Linked DNA regions of Sus scrofa. The protein of the gene in region 5 purifies or fractionates together with the protein of the main gene of each other region. This does not show direct contact. Links are inferred from orthologs where the notes say so. Each region holds a gene or a part of one and is shown on either strand. Other genes may lie near its edges. The genes, in order: AP1S1, AP1G2, AP1M2, EPS15 and AP1B1.

Region 1 (4,046 bases), on a different chromosome or scaffold from region 5:
GGAAGAGGGTGGAAAAAGCAAATAGTCGTAATCCCTACCCAAATCAGGTGTTTACAGTGTGTCAGATATATACAGCCTGAAATCAGACTTGCAGGGTAGGTAATGCTATCTTCGTTTTTAAAATGAGGAAAGGAGGGTTAAATGATCCACTTGAGGAGTTCCCTGGTGGCCTAGAGGGTTAAGGATCTGGTGGCTTGGATCTCTGCTGTGGCGAGGGTTGGATTACCTGGCCTGGGCACATCTGCATGCTGTGAGAGCAGTACCCCCCCCCAAATGACCCACTTGAGACTATACATCAAATAAGAATCAGAGACCAGATTGCATCCCAGGTGAATTAGGCCCACCCTCTGGCAACTAAAGCATATTACCTCCATAACAAAGAGTAAAGGAAAAAGAATACAAAGTGGAGACAGGTAGGACCTTACCAACAACTGCTTCAAGTGCTGCTCATAAGTAATAGCACCATTAATTTCCAAGAATTATCTAGAAATATGCCATTTTTTCAGCAAGTTTGAGATTTTCTTACCTATTTATATGCAAACTCCTTTACACACACAAGCATACACACTCAAACATGCACATCCTCAGCCAAAAAGCTTGTATGACAATTCTCATCTTTACACTTGTGTCTGGGTTACAACTGACCCTTTCCTAGCTTTGATTTATGCTAACCTTTTAAAATTTTCTCGACTTCTTCCTCTTTTGCCTTAATTCATGCTCCCCCTCTTCCTTACATCAGTTTTCTATCAGCCCCTCCTTTTTCTTTTATTTCTGGTCTCTCTCATTACCTACAAATCTCTCTTACTTTGAGTGTTGCATCTAGCAGGTTCTCAGTAGATATCTATTTTGAGCTCCATACTTTTCTCAAGCTTGCCCCCCCCACCCTTTGTCTTCGCCTTTCTCATCATTCTTCCTTCCCCACAGACAGTTCCCACCTTGTTCCCTCTCAGTCGCCCACGCCCCTTCCATTAAACCACCCTACTTCCTCATGAACTCCAGCGGTCATCTCACCCATCTCTCACCCCTTTTCCCGCCTTTTCCCCCCAAGGTTCCAAAGCGCGAGGACCTCATTGTCCTCCTCCCCCGTCCTCCAACCAGCCCACAAGACAGCCTTGTTACCATGACGACAGAGCTAATCAAAGCTGAAGTCGAGGACCTGGTTGCCATGGCTTCCGCTTCTCCGCCCCCCAGCCCCGCCTGCGCGCCCTGCAGCGTTGGCGCCTGCGCAGTACGCATCGCATGGGTTCTCCGTGCCGGGGCGGACGGGGCGGGGCTTCAAGCGTGAGGGAGGGAAGGAGGCGAAGGGATCTGAAAGGGAGTGGAGCTGGCGCCTACGGTGGCTGAAGAGGGACGCGCAGGGCCGGAGGCTGCAGGATGGTAGGCTGTGCAAAGAGGGAGGGGAGGGGGAACCGAGGGGCGTGGGCTGCACCTGCGGGGGTCCTGGGGGGCCGCCCTCTGTGTGAGCCGTTTCCTTCCCTCCGGTCCTCAGAGGCCTTTACTTATCCGGACGGGTGGGCCAGCCGGCCTCGAAAGGAAGAGCAGCTGGAAATGGCTTAAGGGCAAAGGGGCGGGGAGGGGGCACATTTGTGGGGTGAGAGGGTGACTAGGGGGCGGCGGGACTGGCCCGGGCGAGCGGGAACGCGCGGGTCGCGAACCCAGTGGTCCCGAGCCCTGCCACAGGGAAGTCGCCTGAGGAAGAGCGGCACCGGGGCCTGTCGGAGGAGGAAGGCAGAGGGGGGTCTCGGGTCACCCAGACTGACTGTACCCGTGCAGCCCACAGAGAAGCGGCGGCCGCCGGCGGGGAGGGCCGTGTGTGTGGGAGGGGATAGTTTCCGGGTGTGACGAGGGGACGTCCTGCCGCGGTTTGCCGCCCTGCTCACCTAGAGGCTGGAGTGAGGTGGGAAAGCCAAGTGGTCTCGAGGTTTTGCTCTCGGGGACCCAGCTTTTGGCTCCTCGGCTCGCGTGCTCTGGCCTCTCCGCCCCCACCTCATCCTCTTTCCGGAACCCAGGCCTTCCGTCTTCCTGCTGCCCGGCCCACCCCCCATCTTAGCGGAGCACGGCTCCCTTCAGCCCCTCCGTGGCCCTCCCACCACGCTAGCAGTGCTACCCCTTCCCTGCCAGCAAAAAAAAAAAATCGGTTCTCTTGAATTCTGATCTTTAGCCTGCTAGTGTTGTTCCACATCCCCAGGATTCCGGCCCTGGGAATGTACACGGAGACAAGAGCTAGTGGGTGAGGGAGATGACTCCAGGTGTGACCCAGACCCCTGGAACTGGGAAGCTGCCGGCGGGGTTTGCGGGGTTTACGGGGTCGAGGGTTCTGCACTCTTCCCCACTCCACCCTCTTGCACTTGTTCCACAACATTCCCTAGGGGAGCCACTCTGAATGGCTGTGTCCAAACTGAGGAACTGGAAGGGAAATTGGTCACCTGGTATCTGGGGAGGTGTGGGCGTTGTAGCAGGTGGCACCCTGAAAGGAAGAAAAGAGGAATCTCAGAGGCCAAATGCCTGGGTGGCTGAGGAGAGAGGAGGGTGGAATCATGTGCTGACATGAAGGAGACCCTGGGGCATAGGCCTGGCACTGGCGGGCAGTGTGTTGGGGACATCAGCTAGGGTATCTGGCTGGGATGGGGTGTTGAACTGAGGTAGCTTCTCGAGGGATGAGATACCTGATTTCAGCTACAGGCTACTTGTCACTGTGCTAGCATTTTACCCACTTTTGGAAAACATGATTAGGAAACAGAAGATCAGGGAATAATAATAACACCTAAGGTGTTAACGTGCTCATTTCCTGCCGGGCACTGTGTCATTTATCAACTCTCTTCATCCCATTCAACAACTGTGTAAGGTAGGGACTTTTATTATTTTCACCTTACACACCAAGAAGCTGAAGCCCAGAGACATAAAGTAATTGCCCAAGGCAAAGTACTCAACTAGTGGAGCCAGGATTTGAACCCGAATAAGAGACTCAGAAGCTCTGACACCTGCTAGTGGAAGCACCTAGGCTTGACAGCAAGGGCTGACATGTTGGAGAAAGGAGCTGTGAGTAGAACCGTTAGTTGGGATGAGTTTGGGGCTGCGTAGTTATGGAGGAAACAAGCTCAGAGAACCAAATCTCTGACCTTCTGCTCTGACTCTCCCCCTCCACCCCCAGATGCGATTCATGCTGCTGTTCAGCCGGCAGGGAAAGCTGCGGCTGCAAAAATGGTACCTGGCCACATCAGACAAGGAGCGAAAGAAGATGGTTCGGGAGCTCATGCAGGTTGTTCTGGCTCGCAAGCCCAAGATGTGCAGCTTCCTCGAGTGGAGGGACCTCAAAGTCGTCTATAAGAGGTGACTTCCCACCTGCTCTCAGTCCCACCTGTTTCCTGCTTGATTGGGGTCTGGCTATGGGTTCACATGGCTGAGAAATAAGCAGTCCTTAGATCAGGGAGAGCTGAGAGCTAAGGACCTCTGGAGGCCAGTGGTGAACTCCAGCCACCTTGACTGAAATTCTGGTTCCCTTTTGGTTTTGTCCAACCTGACACCTATTTCATGCACCTCCCTCTGTCCTAAAGGTCCGGTCTTGTCTGTTGGGCACGTCCCTTGCAGCCTCCTAGATACTGTGCCACTTTCCCAACACACAGGCACAGGCACACACACCCTTTCCAGTTCCTTCTCAGAGCAGGTGGATTCGTTGGCTCAGGTTTTTGCTGAGTCAAACTGAACAGGTCAGAGGGCAAGAGGGGAAGAGCTTGCGTCTTTGCCTGCGTTTGTGAGAGGATCTGAGAGGCTGAGGGAATTGCTATGTGCATACCCTGGCCCCACCTCGCCAGTGTGCTATAGGGGCGCACACTGGGAATGAGGGAAAATGGGAGGTCTGGGTCCTGAAGCCAACCCAGCAGCCCTTCCAGCCATCCCTCATGTGCCCCTGTCCTCAGATACGCCAGCCTCTACTTCTGCTGTGCCATCGAGGGCCAAGACAATGAGCTCATCACACTGGAGCTGATCCATCGATACGTGGAGCTCCTGGACAAATACTTCGGCAGTGTAAGTCTCCCCACCCACCA
Region 2 (3,445 bases), on a different chromosome or scaffold from region 5:
CGTCAGATGCAATCTGCGGGCCGCCCCTCTCCCCTGGCCGCTAAGCAGCCTCCATTGATTTCCGCTCGTGTTTATAGGATTTCCACTTAGCCGTGATCAGTAGTTAAGCACAGGAAAATCCCTTGCCACCCCCCTCCCTTGGTCGATGCCATTGATTCTGCCAGCGGCTCCTAAACCGCCTTACAGCTGAGTTAGAGATGAGGGGAGGCAGCAGGGATTTCCCTGCCCTGGGGTATGGGGAATAGCAGCAGGTTGGGCAAACAGGCAGGAATCCCTGTTAGGAATCGAGAAATTCTGGTTTGCTGTTGCCACTGTGTCCTGCTCTGGCCCAGAGGGCAGCGTGCCTCCTGTGGAAGTTTAGGGGCACATCTGCTCCCCAGCCCTGGAGAGGGGTAGAAAGAAAACCCTCCTTTGCTGCAACCAGTTCCAAAGGCTCAGGGCAAGATACCTACTTCCCATGTAAGAAAACTCCTCCCTGGGTGTTAAACACATATGTTTTCTACCTCAAATATGGTTTTCCCTCCTCAGGCTTTATTATTTGTGAGGTTGAGGGGGAGCCCCCAACAGGTTCTGCAGTGGCAAGCACAGGACCAGAGCGCCACCTGCTGGTAGCGCTCAGATGTGCCTCCAGGTAGCTGGGGCCCCTGTGGTTTGGGTTCTTAGGAAGACTTCATACTGTGAGTGGAGGCAGAGTTACTGCCATGTCTCCACAGGCAAGTTGTTCACCTCAAAGATTTCCTGCACCGACTGGCCAAAGTGGTTGTAGGTGAGGCGCAGCTTCAGCCGCAAGGGGGCCTAGAGATAAGAGAGCAGAGACCAGGGTTAGCACCTATGACAGCCCCCTTTCCTGGGTCCTAGCCTTGAGGGGCTCCTGGAGCTCACCTTGTTAGGGTTGAGGATTCTGAGGAGCTGCGTCATCGGAAGGCCACCCTGAGCTGGAACTGTGTCCCCACTAGGGGCCTGTAGCTGTAGTTGGAAACTCTGAACACAGAAGGTTGGACAGATCCCACAGTAAGGCAACTGGCTGGGCTCAGGCAACCCCTCCACACCCAGTAGTTTGAACCCTCTTCCCCTAAATCCCCAAGTGCCTGTCCTGGCATATCACTCCCTCCTCATCTCACTCTCTTCCTGACCCACCTCCTCTACTTAGTGGCCTTTTCTCCTGGAGTGCCCAGGCAACATCTGAATCCTAGTCTTCTACAAACCTTGGGCACAGCGGCCTGGCAGATGAAGTGGGTGACATCACCCGCTGAGGTATTGGTGGCTGTGACAGTGATTAACAGCAAAGCAGGGGTTCCAGGGGGTCGAACGAAAGACAGATTCAGCTGTAGTCCCTCACGCTCAAACACTCTGAGATTTGGGATGGGAGCTATGGTAGGGAGAGAAAAGCAGCTCAGTGTATGAGCCGAAGATAATAGTTCATTCGTTCCACAAAAATTAAATGAGCACCCAGTGGGTGCAGGGCACTGCTCGAGAGGCTAGCAACAGAGTGGACAAGGATATGAGGTCCCTGCTGGAGCGGACAGCCTAGTGGGGGGAGAGGACAATAAACGAGATAATCACAGATGGTCACTGGTGCTCCGAAGGAAATAAACTGTCAGGATAACTGGGGGGAACTAACTTAAATAGCAGTAGGGGAAAGCATCTGACATTTCAGGCAAGGCCCAAGAGTGAGAATGAGGCAGTCATTTGATGTGCTGAGGAAAGAGCACTCCATGAGAAAAGAACATGAATGCCAAGGGCTTGAGGTGAAAGGGCCTGAGGGGTTTCGAGGAGACCAGTGGAGCAGGCAGTGGGAAAGCCTATGAGGTGAGTGAGGAGGAAGCAGGGCCCAGAGGCCAGGGTAAGAAGTCTGGAACAAAGGGAAGACACAGGAGGGTGTCCAGGAGGGGACTGGCATGATCCAATGGGCCCTGACACTAGGACAGGGTTGTGATGGGGGCACACCGCAGGGAAGAAGATACCTGAACCTCAGTCCTTGGCTTCAAAGGAGAAGCAGTCTTTCCACCCCTCTTCTTTAAGAAGTTGCCCCTTTGCAGAGCTTACCAGGGGGTGGGGGAGCACAAGGAAGGTCCAGGAGATTTATTAAAGTGCCTCCTGGGGTGGGATCCAGAGGGGGAGGGTGGTGGGCATCTGCAGAAGGGCCATCCAGGAGATCCAAGAGATCCAGGAGCTTCGAGGCCTGGGAGAGGGGGAGAAGGCAGAGAGTCAGGGCTGAGTAAGGAAGCTGGATCATGCTCTTCCTCCGGAGCTCCTCACCTCCTCACCTGGGGCTCTGTGGGGTTAGGGGCCGCTTCTTCTTCTTCGCTTTCCTTTGCTTTCTCATCGACCTGAGGGCCACCTCGCTCCATAAGAGGCATCTTTTCCAGGATGGCAGCCCTGGGAGGATGGAAGGGAGGTATAACCCTCTGGGCAGGCCCTGGGCTTTTCACACAGGAGGTGTGGGAGGAGGGTAAGAACGTGGAGAGTCCTGGGCTTAGGGTGGGTCAGAAGTGCCCCTCTGATTTCCTAAGAAGGCATGCTGCTGCTGTCTGAACAAGGAGGGTGGGAAGCCTGCTTGGCTTCGATGAACTGTGGGTGGGAGGCTCTGACTGGATGAGACCTTTGTGCCCAGAAAGGGACAATGGCCAAGGGGGGTGGGTCCCGCACTGCGGCTGGGTGGTGCGCACCTCATGTGGTCGTACTTCCGGAAGAGAGTGTTGTATTCCACCGCACGCTGCTGCAGCTCCACGTCCATGCAGCTCCCGTAGATGGACACCACCTGGCGGATGCGGCTGGGCCGCGTGGCGGTGTGCAAGTGGGAATGGCGCTCTGCCCCTGCCCCTCACCTCCAGGATGCGGCAGGGAAGGAAGAGGCTCCATGGAGCAGGGAGAGACCCACACTACTTGGCTCAAAAGAAAATACCTAAGGATTGCGGGGAAGTGGGGGGGGTGAGGGCCTGGAGAGAAACCAGAAACTGGGGGTGGGGGCACCGTGGAGAAAGGCTCTAGGAGAGCGGCTGGGCCCCAGTCTCACTTGTTGTCCCCACGGAGCCGGGTGCTGAGCTTCATGAGGGCTGTCAGGGCATATCCTCGGGTAGCTGGCAGGGACATGTGAGACTGCAGCACCCTTTCCAGCAATGCCAACACCTCCTCTTCCTCCACCTTTTGGAGGGACACAGGGAGTGACCCTGGGTTCAGCCCTGCCTCCCCTGACCCATCCCTCCAGTTTACCCCCAGTGCAGGACCCACCTGCAGGGGCTCAGCTTCCTCACAGCTCCCCTCCAGCAGGAGGTCCCCGTATTCCCCAATGCACCAGGCTGCCACCTGCACCAGCGGTTGCTGCATGGGGTAAGAAACGTGCTGGGCCAGCGTCTGGGTCCCCTCCTCACTTCCAGACCCTGTGACATCCCTTTAGGTAGTGCAGAGATGGTGGAGTTTAGAGGAGAGGGGAAAAGGGAAGGCC
Region 3 (3,960 bases), on a different chromosome or scaffold from region 5:
AAAAGAAGTTCTGTTTTGGCTTAGTGGTTAATGAACCCGACTAGCATCCATGAGGACGTGGGTTCGATCCCTGGTGTCACTCAGTGGGTTAAAGCTCTGGCATTGCCGTGAGCTGTGGTGTAGGTTGCAGATGCGGCTCGGATCCCAAGTTTCTATTGCTGTGACGTAGGCTGGTGGCTGCAGCTCCAATTTGACCCCTAGCCTGGGAAACACCATGTGCTATGGGTGCAGCCCTAAAAGGACAAAACAAACAAACAAAACTGTATAAAAAATTAGAAAAATTACAAAAATAATTTTTTGGGTTGCACACAGAAGTTCTAGGCCAGGGATAGAATCTACACCGCAGGAGTGACAATGCTGGGTCCTCTAGCCACTAGGGCACTAGGGAACTCCCTAAATTTTTTTTAATAAAAGAGTAACATTAGGAATAGTAGTAAAAGCAGCTACATTTGTCCTGTGCAGCATGCAAACCACAGTTTCTGGGAGTTCCCATTGTGGCACAGCAGAAACAAATACGACTAAGAACCATGAGGTTTCGGGTTCGATCCCTGGCCTTGCTCAGTGGGTTAAGGATCCTGCATTGCCGTGAGCTGTGGTATAGGTCGCAGATGCGGCTCAGATCTTATGTTGCTGCGGTTCTGGCGTAGGCCCGGCAGCTGTAGCTCCGATTAGACCCCTAGCTTGGGAAACTCCATATGCCTGTGGCTGCGGCTCTAAAAAAAAAAAAAAAAGCCGCAGTTCCGGGCATGGAGTGGAAGAATTTATCAGCGAGTGAATGAAGACATTAATTAGTAAATATGTAGGGTATTAATTAATTAGGCACACATTGAGCACCCAGCCAGCACTAGTCACTGAGGCCCCAGGCATGAAAAACACAAGTCCCTGCTCTATGGGATGAATACCCGCGTGGTAGTGACAAGAGAAACGAATGAGTGGCTGGGTGGTGGTTGGTTGGATGGTTAGATGGATGAATGGATGGATGAATAGTTTGTTGGCTGGATGGATAGATGGTTGGTCTGAGATCTCCGCCCAGCCCATCGACACTCCAGGATGCAAAGGGAAAGTGAGGCGGGGCAGCTGTCCCAGCCGAAGCTCCGCCCTCGCAGCGTCTTCTCGTCGGCCGACAGCGCCGCTCACCTGGAGACCTCCCCTTTAAGACGCGCTCACCTGGGTCCTCACCTGCGCGCGGGCGCTTCCGCAGGAAGAAGGAAGCGGCGCCACTGTCGCCTCCTGGAGTTCCCTTCCCACCTCCCTAGTCCGCCGGCCGCCACCATGTCCGCCTCCGCTGTCTTCATCCTCGACGTTAAGGGCAAGGTGAGGCTGGGGGCGGGGAGGAGGGGACGGACAGGTGAGGCTCCGCTCTCCCCGACCCAGGGGCGGGCCTCCGGGTCTCGAGGCCCCAGAAAGCTCTGGTGTGTAGGAACACCCCTCCCCCAAGGCCTGGGTGTCCCGCGCTAATCCCACCTTCGCTGTTTACCAGTCGCGTGTCTGAGGCAAGGGGCCTCGCCTCTCTGAGCCTCAGTCTCACTGTCCATGCAAATGGGAATGAATAAGACAGTCCCCACCCAAGAAGAAAGAACACAACCCCATGTCTGTATATTAGTTAGCACAGTTCCCCTGCTGCAAACATTTGGCATTTAATCTGTTGAAATTATTTCTATCATCATCCTCCATATTATTATTTGGGGAGAACAGCACAGGCAGAAGACCCTAATTATCCTTTGAGGCTGCCTTGTCCCTTCTTGGAATCCCCTCCCATTTGTCATGTCATTCAATAGCAATAATAATAGTGGTGGTGAGAGTAATATTCCTGATAATAATATTGAAAGCTAAGGTGTGTGAGGACCTGCTTAGTGCCCGCTGGGTTCTAAAACACTGGACTACATAACCTCCCCAAGTAGGTACTACTATTATTGACTGCTACTGCCTGCCAGACAGAGCATATGAACTAGAAGATGTATATGGGTATAATCATTTTTCTTTTTTTGTTTTTTCTTTATTTTTTTGGCCACGCCCATGGCATGCGGAAATTCCTGGGCCAAGGAATCGAACTCAAGCTACAGCTACAACTGGAGCCACAGCAGTGACAACGGTGGACCCCTAACCTGCTGAGACACTAGGGAACTCTTCTTTCCTTCCTTTCTTCCTTCTTTTCTTTCTCTCTCTCTCTTTCTTTTTTTCTCTCTTCTTTCTTTCCTTTTTTTTCCCTTTATATGGTGTTCCCCTGGGCTAGGGATCAAATCCCAGCAGCAGTTGTGACCTGTGCTGCAGCTTTGGCAACACCAGATCCTTCACCCACCGTGCCAGGCTGGAGATCAAACCTGCATCCCAGGCTGGAGATCAAACCTGCACAGAAACACTCCCAATCCCATTGTGCCATGGTGGGAACTCCTCTCTTTCTTTCCTTTCATCATCTCTACCTTACCTATTTGGTGATAGAAGCCGTGCTTGAGAGCAGGAATTCTAGAGCCAGGATTCAATTCTTGGCTTCCCCACTTACTGTGGAGATGATTCATACCTCAGTTTCCCCATCTGTAAAATGGAAATGATGAGATCACCAACCTCACGCTTGTGGTGACAATGAAATAAATCATCAAACAGGAGTTCCCGTCATGGCTCAGTGGTTCACGAATCTGGCTAGGAACCATGAGGTTGTGGGTTTGATCCCTGGCCTTGCTCAGTGGGTTAAAGATCCAGCATTGCCTTGAGCTTTGATGTAGGTCACAGATACGGCTCGGATCCTGCATTGCTGGCAGCTACAGCTCCAATTGGACCCCTATCCTGGGAACCTCCATATGCCATGGGTGGGGCCCTAGAAAAGACATAAACAAACAAATAAATAAATAAATCCACAAATATCCTGGCATTTTGCAGAAGAGGAAACTGAGGTGCAGAGAGGCAGAGCCTTGCCCACACCCCTTAGCCAGCAAGTGGGCTCAGAGCCTCGTGCTCTGATGCCTCTGGCAGGAATGTCCCTGGATCCCAGAGGTGACCAGCCCTTCTCTGTCCACTCTCAGCCCTTGATCAGCCGCAACTACAAGGGCGACGTGGCCATGAGCGAGATCGAGCACTTCATGCCTTTGCTTATGCAGCGGGAGGAGGAGGGTGCCCTGGCCCCACTGCTGAGCCATGGCCGGGTCCACTTCTTGTGGATCAAATACAGCAACCTCTACTGTATCCAGCCACAGGTGGGTCCCTGGGGGCTTGGGGTGGTGGCAGCTCAGGCCCAGAAAAGGTGGGTCAGCACAGGAGACACACAGCCCATCGTGGCTCAAGCTGGAGGGTGAGGGTGGTTGGGGCAGGGGTGGGGGCTGGGGGTGTGTGTTTCAGGGTCTGTACTCCATTGGAACCCTCCAAAATGGCACCTTTTCCTTAACCTTGCTGCCTGCAGTGGTGGCCACCACCCTGAAGAATGCCAACGCCTCTCTTGTGTACTCCTTCCTGTACAAGACAGTGGAGGTAGGTTCTGGCCTTCCATTGGCTGCCTGGTCTGTCTGTCCACCTGTTTTGTCTGCCTGTTTCAGGATCCATCTCTCCTAGGAAGCTTTCCCTGACCTCCCTGGGGGTGCCCCCATCAACGCCCCATCACTCTGTATTCTCATTAGCTGCTATGGTATCATCTCTCCCTATAGGGCAGGGACCAGGGAGGTTCCTCAGAGGGTATCCTGCTCAAATATGAACCAAGGGGGGAGTTCCCATTATGGCTCAGTGGTAATGAGCCTGACTAGTATCCATGAGGTTGCAGGTTCGATCCCTGGCTTCGCTCAGTGGGTTAAGGTGTAGGTTGCAGACGCATCTCAAATCTGGCATTGCTGTGGCTGTGGCATAAGCCGGCAACTACTGCTCCAATTTGACCTCTATCCTGGGGACTTCCATATGCCTCAGGTATGGCCTTAGAAAAAGGAAAAATAATAATCTGAACTAAAGGGAACTGGGTTCCAAACCCACTCACCAACTTCC
Region 4 (3,041 bases), on a different chromosome or scaffold from region 5:
TCTTCACTATTAATAATAACATGGCTGAATTTGTTTAATTAAAGTAAGTAATACTAAAAAGCTGTCCAACTCAAATTCTTCAGAACCATCCTGATGAGGAAAATGAGGCTCAGGGAAGCCAGATATAACGCTGTCCAAGTCTCTTTTCCAGAAATGGCAGACCAGGGATTCAGTCCCAGGATTGCGTGAATTTTCTACAGCACAGTGCCCGCCTAGAGTCCATGTCACAAATCCTTACTCAACAAACACATACAAACCACCTATGATTCAGGCACGGTCTCTATGCACACACATTTCCTACCACTCTCTCACAAAAACAGGACGTGATAACTGAAAATAAGAGTTAACATTTATTGAGTATTTATTCTACACCAGGTACTGTCTCAAGCACTTTACACATATTCATCTGTGCTGACTGTATGCCTACCCCTCCGTGGACACAGCATGGACATAACAGAGAACCATGCAAAACTCCATTTCAGATAGGACGGACGGATAGTATGGTTTATTATTACTGAAAGTTTATTGTTCTCATAATTACAGGCTACAATTTAGAAGTTTGAAACAGAGGAGAAAGTTCTATAAAGAGAACTCAAACTTGAACAAGTAGGTAGAAGATGGTTAAAACTTTGTAAGTAGTGCCACTTAGCTCTCCGAATACTTATCTGTCCTTTCCAAGCACAGGCTCTGGAGTCAGTCAACAACGTAAAATATAATCACAAATAACTCTAAGACATTCATCCTACACAAGTGAGCATGGAGATTTAGATATATATATATATATATATTTTTATATAATATATACATACTTTCATATTATATTGGTCCACTGAGTATACACATTTTAACAAAAGATAAGAATCTATGTAATCCAGTTAAACACACATAAGATTAGGGTATATTTATTACATCAAAAGTTGGTGTTTTTAAGTTACAGATATTTAGTATTTTCCAGAGTGTTTTTTAATTAAAAAAAAAAAAAAAAGATTTTAAAACCATTTCAAACATCTGTTCATTTTCCCAGTGCAAAAGGTTGTTCAAGTCAACTTACCTTTTCTCCTCAAATGTAAGGGGAAGAAAAAAAACCCAAAAACCACTACCTATCACAAGTCCCAACACTACCTTCTCAATCAACTTTTTGCAGTATACCCTTATTACTGAATTTGTTCATCAAAATTAAAGCCTTGTGATTATGATTCAGCCCTTGCTTCACATGTATGACTTCCATGCCGAGATGTTCCAATTTATAAAAGTAGAAAAAAGTTAGCAGTGCAAGAAAGTGGTTTAAGTTTTTTGAAATGCAGCAGTCCAATTGTGTGGAGAGAAAAAAAGCACCATTTCAAGATGAAATGAACTGGATATTTGGGGATTTATTCATAGGCTAGACAATCAGCCACCCTGATTAACACAGATCAATAATACCACCTTTACTTGGTGACCACAGGGACATTTAATTAGTTTTTAGGTGCATTTTCCTTTATCTTCGTTTTCAATACATTATTTTAGTAACTGATGTTAAAAAAATTAAGATTACTTTATAATTTACAGCCTACTTCAGAGTCCCTTTTAAATTCAGCTTGTCTGCTAGGTCAGTTTTACAGGAGACAACTTCTAAGACATAAAGAACTTTGATAATCTGTCAGGTCTCTTCTCTCCCAATTAAAAAAAAAACATATTTTTTGCTAGCCTGCCAATTTTATAGGTGAAAAACATGAAGATAATAAACTATTCTAATCCACAAAGATGGGAAAAAAATAATATGATTTAATAATGTCACTTTTTTCATTTGTATTCAGTGAATGTTTTTACATTTCAAGTAACTGCGTCTTCATTAAAGAAAACAAAATATATATATATATACAAAAAGTTAAAGTACCTTCCAGTTCTAGCCTGCTAAGGTTTCTTCTTCAAAAGTATAAAAATAAACCTACCATGAACTAAAGAGGACAGTGCCATAGGAATGGCAGAATGGCTGCCATAAGATTTTTGCTTACCTTGTATTATATTGATGGGTATAATTTAGGTGATAATTTTTCTCCACTCTCTAGCACTTAAAATTATGAAGAGGTATCTGTTTATCTAAAATTCTTTAAATTCAGAGAAAAAATTTTTTAAATATATTTCACACATGAGGCTTTAACATTTTTTATTTAGGAAAAGATGGAGTCTGAAGCTATAATGGGTCAATCTAAAGCATCCCTTTTTCAATAGGGGAGTCAATTTATGCAAAATATTTTTTCTTGTCTATAAAAACCAAACTGAACAGTACTCTGATTATAAGGAAATACAAATATGTACTTTTAAACTACCCAATTTGTTTTACTGTAAAAGAAACAGGATGTTCTTTCCCTTCCCCTCTCTCAACTATTTAAATCCAGGGAGAATACTGCCAACTTTAAGAACCCCACTAGCTATCATTAGAGTAACTACAGAACAAGGGTAGCACAGGGGTGAAACTACTTCTCTATATTCCAGAAGGCAGAAGCTTGGGTGCTCTAGCTTTACAAGTAAAAGGAGCACAGGCAGGCAAAAGCTCACACTAAATGCACACCAGAACAGGGGCCTAGGTGAAGTTGTCTGAGTTACTGCTTTTACGGGGGTCGGGGTAGGGCGCGGGGGGAGACAAATCTGAAATGGAGTTAAAAAACAAAACAAAACTTTTTGTCACATTTACAGGAATCTCAAACCTTTTGTTTTCCCATGCTTGTAGGGAGTTTTGGTACACACTGTAAATAGCTTCAGTATTCGGGAGGGAGGGTACTGTGTGGCTGACCAAAGGACAGGAGAATTCTTCATGCTTCTGAGATCTCAGATTTGCTGAGTGCAATAGCCAGTTCCAAGTCTTCCTGCTCTTGCTGATTAAGTCGGGCAAGCCTCTGCTCTTCCTCTCTCTCGCTTTCTCTCTTGGCCCATTCAATCATATCTTCTTCAGAGGGGTACTGCCATTTAAGTCAAATGAACAAACAAATGAACAGCTTCATGAGTGGTACAAATACAAAGAAAAGAAGGAAAAAGAGGCTTCACAAAAGGACACTTAACTC
Region 5 (3,515 bases):
GTCAGTTTGCAGCCTCTGGTTTGCATCTGTTACCACAGCAGATCGCATACAGAATGACAGCCCCTCCTTTACTCATGCATCTCCCCAGCCTGGAACGTCCCTTCCCCTTTTGCGTTTACCCAGCTGTCTCCTTCATCACTCTGGCCCACTGCCCTGAACACATAGCATTTGCTGTGTTCCTATTGCTTGGCCCTAATTCTAGAGTGCCCTCTTCTTATGTGCGCTTGAGCCTCCCTGCCCACCACATTGTCAAGTCCTCAAGGACAAGGGCTAGATTTTACAGCAGCTCAACACATAGTGTTTGAGAGTCAGCAGAACACTTTTAGATATATTTTCCTGGAAGTTCCATACAATTTCCATACTGTAGGTAAGGATGATCTTTGGCCAAAGAAGCCAGAAACAGTGACTGTCCAAATGGTCACTTGGTTAATGGCAGAACCATTACTCACGCTCAACCCATCTGAAATCCAGACCTGGGTGCTTTCTTCCTTCCCTGTCCTTGGTGTCCTTGTGGTGCCAAGCTCCATGCCTTGTAGGCCTGGACACTGGCCTGGAGCAGCTCCCCATCTGGGTCCCTCAGCAGGATCCCTCTGCTCATACTTGTAGTGCCCAATCCCATTGCCACACTCAGCAAGGGACCTCCTGACAGCACCACAGGAGAAGCAGCTCTACAGAGAAGCCTGCTGAGGACAGATCAGCAAAGGGATCGGGTGTCTGCTGGAAAACTGGTGCAGCCAAAAAAGGGGGAAAAAAATCACCCTTTGGAATTCATTTTCTACCAGTAGATATTCATGGTAAAAGCTGTTGCCCTGCCTTTTACTAGGAAGACCTGTTATCTTTTCCTTCCCTCCTTCCCACTCACCCCCCTCCGCACCCTCCATTAACTGCCTGAAAAATCTTCTTTTCTCTTCTTTGGCCTTCCTTGCACTGACACCGCTTTGACCTTCCAGTGCCCTCTTCCCCGATGTGGTGAACTGTATGCAGACGGACAACCTGGAGCTGAAGAAGCTAGTGTACCTGTACTTGATGAACTATGCCAAGAGTCAGCCAGACATGGCCATTATGGCCGTCAACACCTTTGTGAAGGTGAGCAGGAGCTTGTGGGAGGAGGGGTGTAGCTGCTTACTGCTCCCCCCGGTCTCTTAGGGTGGGGCACTATGGCTCTGGGCCTGGGCCCTCTGGCTCCCATCCTGGGGACTCTTCCTCCAGCAGAGGGCCCCAGCTCTCTTCAGAATAGCAGATGCCACAGACCCTGCTACTTCACTCCATGTGAGGTCACCCCAGGCCTGTTGTTCCCCCTGTTCCCTGGGGTGAGCCACTGCCCTGCGTCATTTGCCAGCACAGGATGCAGCACGCATCTGAGAGCTGTGCTCCCCTTCTAGACTTTGCTCCTTTCTGCATTTTCTGTCCTCCAGATTGGGGAGAAGCAGGGACTTGCAGTGTCAGCTCTGCACTTTATAACCTTAGCTCCCTAATTCCCATTGATGCCCAGATAGGTGAGTCCTAGGGCCTAATTGAAATATTAGATGCAGGATGGGTCATGGCTCTGCTGTGTGACTGGGTGAGCTCCCGACCTTGCTGAGAGCCTCAGCTCCCTCACCTGTAAAATAGGAACTGTATTCTGTGTCTGCTATGAGGATCAAGGAGGATAGTGCAAAGCCTAGCATCTGGCAGGTGTTAGATGCCCATATATGGCCCTTGCTTTTGATGTTGTTGGCCACAATTGGTGGGAGATCCCATGGTAGCTGTATGATGTTGCTCACCTCGGCCAATGGCTGATTCCCCTTAGGACTGTGAGGACCCCAACCCTCTGATCCGGGCTCTGGCTGTGCGGACCATGGGGTGCATCCGTGTCGACAAGATCACAGAGTATCTGTGTGAGCCACTCCGGAAGTGCCTAAAGGATGAGGACCCCTATGTGCGTAAGACAGCAGCTGTGTGCGTGGCCAAGCTTCACGACATCAACGCCCAGCTGGTAGAGGACCAGGGCTTCCTAGACACTCTTAAAGACCTCATCTCTGATTCTAACCCCATGGTAAGTCACTGCCACCCACAGTGTCACCTCTACCTCCTCCAGGGTTCCTTGGAAGGCCTTGGCTTGACCCTCCACCAGGCAGCTTCAGTTCCTGGAAAGAGCCCTGCGGGGTGGGCCAGCTGTTCTCCTGCCTGCAGTGGTTTGGGCACCATCTTTGGAGTGAGCTAGACCTAGATGCTCTTGTCTGCACGGCTCTCTCTAACAAGCTTTGCGACCTTGAGCAAGCTGCCTAACCTTCCAGAGCCCTCTTTTCTTCATCAGTAAGATGAATCTATTTCTGCATGGTTACCAGGAGTGTATGAGGCTTTATCTATGAAGGTATCGTGCCTAGCATAGCCTGGCACACAGTGGATATGCATCTACGACTAGTGCCCTCCTTCCCCTTCTAGTCACTGTTGTTGGTTTTTTTGGGGTTTGTTTTGTTTTGTTTTGTTTGTTTGTTTTTTTGGTCTTTTTGTCATTTCTTGGGCCACTCCCGTGGCATATAGTTTCCCAGGCTAGGGTCTAATCGGAACTGTAGCCGCTGGCCCACGCCAGAGCCACAGCAACGCAGGATCCGAGCCACGTCTGCAACGTACACCACAGCTCACTGCAATGCTGGATCCTTAACCCACTGAGTGAGGCCAGGGATCAAATCCACACCCTCATGGTTCCTAGTCAGATTCATTAACCACAACCACATGGTTCCCTGAGCCATGACGGAAACTCCTAGTCACTGTTGTTATCACCGTCCTCTCACCAAGACCATCAATGAGCTGTGAATGGGAGGTGCTTCTCCCTTTCCCCACTCTTTGCAGAGTTAGAGATGGTTACCCTTGAAGTAGTGTAACCGGAGAAAAGGCACCAGGATGCGTTGGGAGGGGACCTGGTCTCCTCGGTTTGGTGGGCAATTCAGTAGGGCCATATTTAAAATGAAATGTGGGAGTTCCCGTCAGTGCCTTAGTGGTTAACAAAGCCGACCAGGATCCATGAGGATGCGGGTTCGATCCCTGACCTCACTCGGTGGGTTAAGGATCTAGCATTTCTGTGAGCTGTGGTATTGGTCGCAGACTCAGCTTGGATCTGGCGTTTCTATGGTTGTGGCGTATGCCAGCAGCTACAGCTTTGATTCGACCCCTAGCCTGGGAACCTCCATATGCAGCGGCTGTGGCCCTAAAAAGACAAAAAGATTAAAAAATTTTTTTAAATAAAATGAAATGTGGAGTTCCCTTTGTGGAGTAGAGGAAACTAATCTGATTAGTATCCATGAGGATATGGGTTTGATCCTGGCCTCATTCAGTGGCTTAAGGACCTGGCATTGCCATGAGCTACAGCATAGGTCACAGATGGGTCTCAGATCCGAAGTTGCTGTGGCATAGGCCCCAGATACAGCTCTGATTCGACCCTTAGCCTGGGAACTTTCATATGCTGCAGGTGCAGCTATAAAAAGATTAAAAAAAAGGCAATGTACAACCTGCCTGGCCCAGCTGTCCCATTCTGT

What was found.
Region 1: the proteins of AP1B1 (region 5) and AP1S1 fractionate together in Homo sapiens (co-fractionation; 6 studies listed by BioGRID and IntAct, with this or other methods). This does not show direct contact. The link is inferred for Sus scrofa from reciprocal best matches to the Homo sapiens genes AP1B1 and AP1S1.
Region 2: the proteins of AP1B1 (region 5) and AP1G2 fractionate together in Homo sapiens (co-fractionation; 3 studies listed by BioGRID and IntAct, with this or other methods). This does not show direct contact. The link is inferred for Sus scrofa from reciprocal best matches to the Homo sapiens genes AP1B1 and AP1G2.
Region 3: the proteins of AP1B1 (region 5) and AP1M2 purify together in Homo sapiens (affinity purification with mass spectrometry; 3 studies listed by BioGRID and IntAct, counting the BioPlex papers as one, with this or other methods). This does not show direct contact. The link is inferred for Sus scrofa from reciprocal best matches to the Homo sapiens genes AP1B1 and AP1M2.
Region 4: the proteins of AP1B1 (region 5) and EPS15 purify together in Homo sapiens (affinity purification with mass spectrometry; 3 studies listed by BioGRID and IntAct, with this or other methods). This does not show direct contact. The link is inferred for Sus scrofa from reciprocal best matches to the Homo sapiens genes AP1B1 and EPS15.

What each region holds. Positions count from the first base shown.
Region 1 is NC_010445.4:8,879,755-8,883,800, forward strand, and holds the start of AP1S1 (AP-1 complex subunit sigma-1A), read left to right. Parts: upstream 1-1,238; 5' UTR 1,239-1,374; coding exon 1,375-1,377; intron 1,378-1,880; exon of another isoform or gene 1,881-2,010; intron 2,011-3,151; coding exon 3,152-3,330; intron 3,331-3,917; coding exon 3,918-4,026; intron 4,027-4,046. UniProt on the Homo sapiens protein: Subunit of clathrin-associated adaptor protein complex 1 that plays a role in protein sorting in the late-Golgi/trans-Golgi network (TGN) and/or endosomes.
Region 2 is NC_010449.5:75,546,557-75,550,001, reverse strand, and holds the end of AP1G2 (AP-1 complex subunit gamma-like 2), read right to left. Parts: intron 3,322-3,445; coding exon 3,232-3,321; intron 3,145-3,231; coding exon 3,017-3,144; intron 2,775-3,016; coding exon 2,670-2,774; intron 2,380-2,669; coding exon 2,268-2,379; intron 2,183-2,267; coding exon 2,047-2,182; intron 1,573-2,046; exon of another isoform or gene 1,370-1,572; coding exon 1,206-1,369; exon of another isoform or gene 982-1,205; coding exon 883-981; exon of another isoform or gene 796-882; coding exon 694-795; 3' UTR 512-693; downstream 1-511.
Region 3 is NC_010444.4:69,351,104-69,355,063, reverse strand, and holds the start of AP1M2 (AP-1 complex subunit mu-2), read left to right. Parts: upstream 1-1,157; 5' UTR 1,158-1,272; coding exon 1,273-1,314; intron 1,315-3,017; coding exon 3,018-3,174; intron 3,175-3,391; coding exon 3,392-3,459; intron 3,460-3,960. UniProt on the Homo sapiens protein: Subunit of clathrin-associated adaptor protein complex 1 that plays a role in protein sorting in the trans-Golgi network (TGN) and endosomes.
Region 4 is NC_010448.4:160,789,807-160,792,847, reverse strand, and holds the end of EPS15 (epidermal growth factor receptor substrate 15), read right to left. Parts: intron 2,940-3,041; coding exon 2,793-2,939; 3' UTR 505-2,792; downstream 1-504. UniProt on the Homo sapiens protein: Involved in cell growth regulation. May be involved in the regulation of mitogenic signals and control of cell proliferation. Involved in the internalization of ligand-inducible receptors of the receptor tyrosine kinase (RTK) type, in particular EGFR.
Region 5 is NC_010456.5:46,492,659-46,496,173, reverse strand, and holds part of AP1B1 (AP-1 complex subunit beta-1), read left to right. Parts: intron 1-950; coding exon 951-1,086; intron 1,087-1,789; coding exon 1,790-2,035; intron 2,036-3,515. UniProt on the Homo sapiens protein: Subunit of clathrin-associated adaptor protein complex 1 that plays a role in protein sorting in the late-Golgi/trans-Golgi network (TGN) and/or endosomes.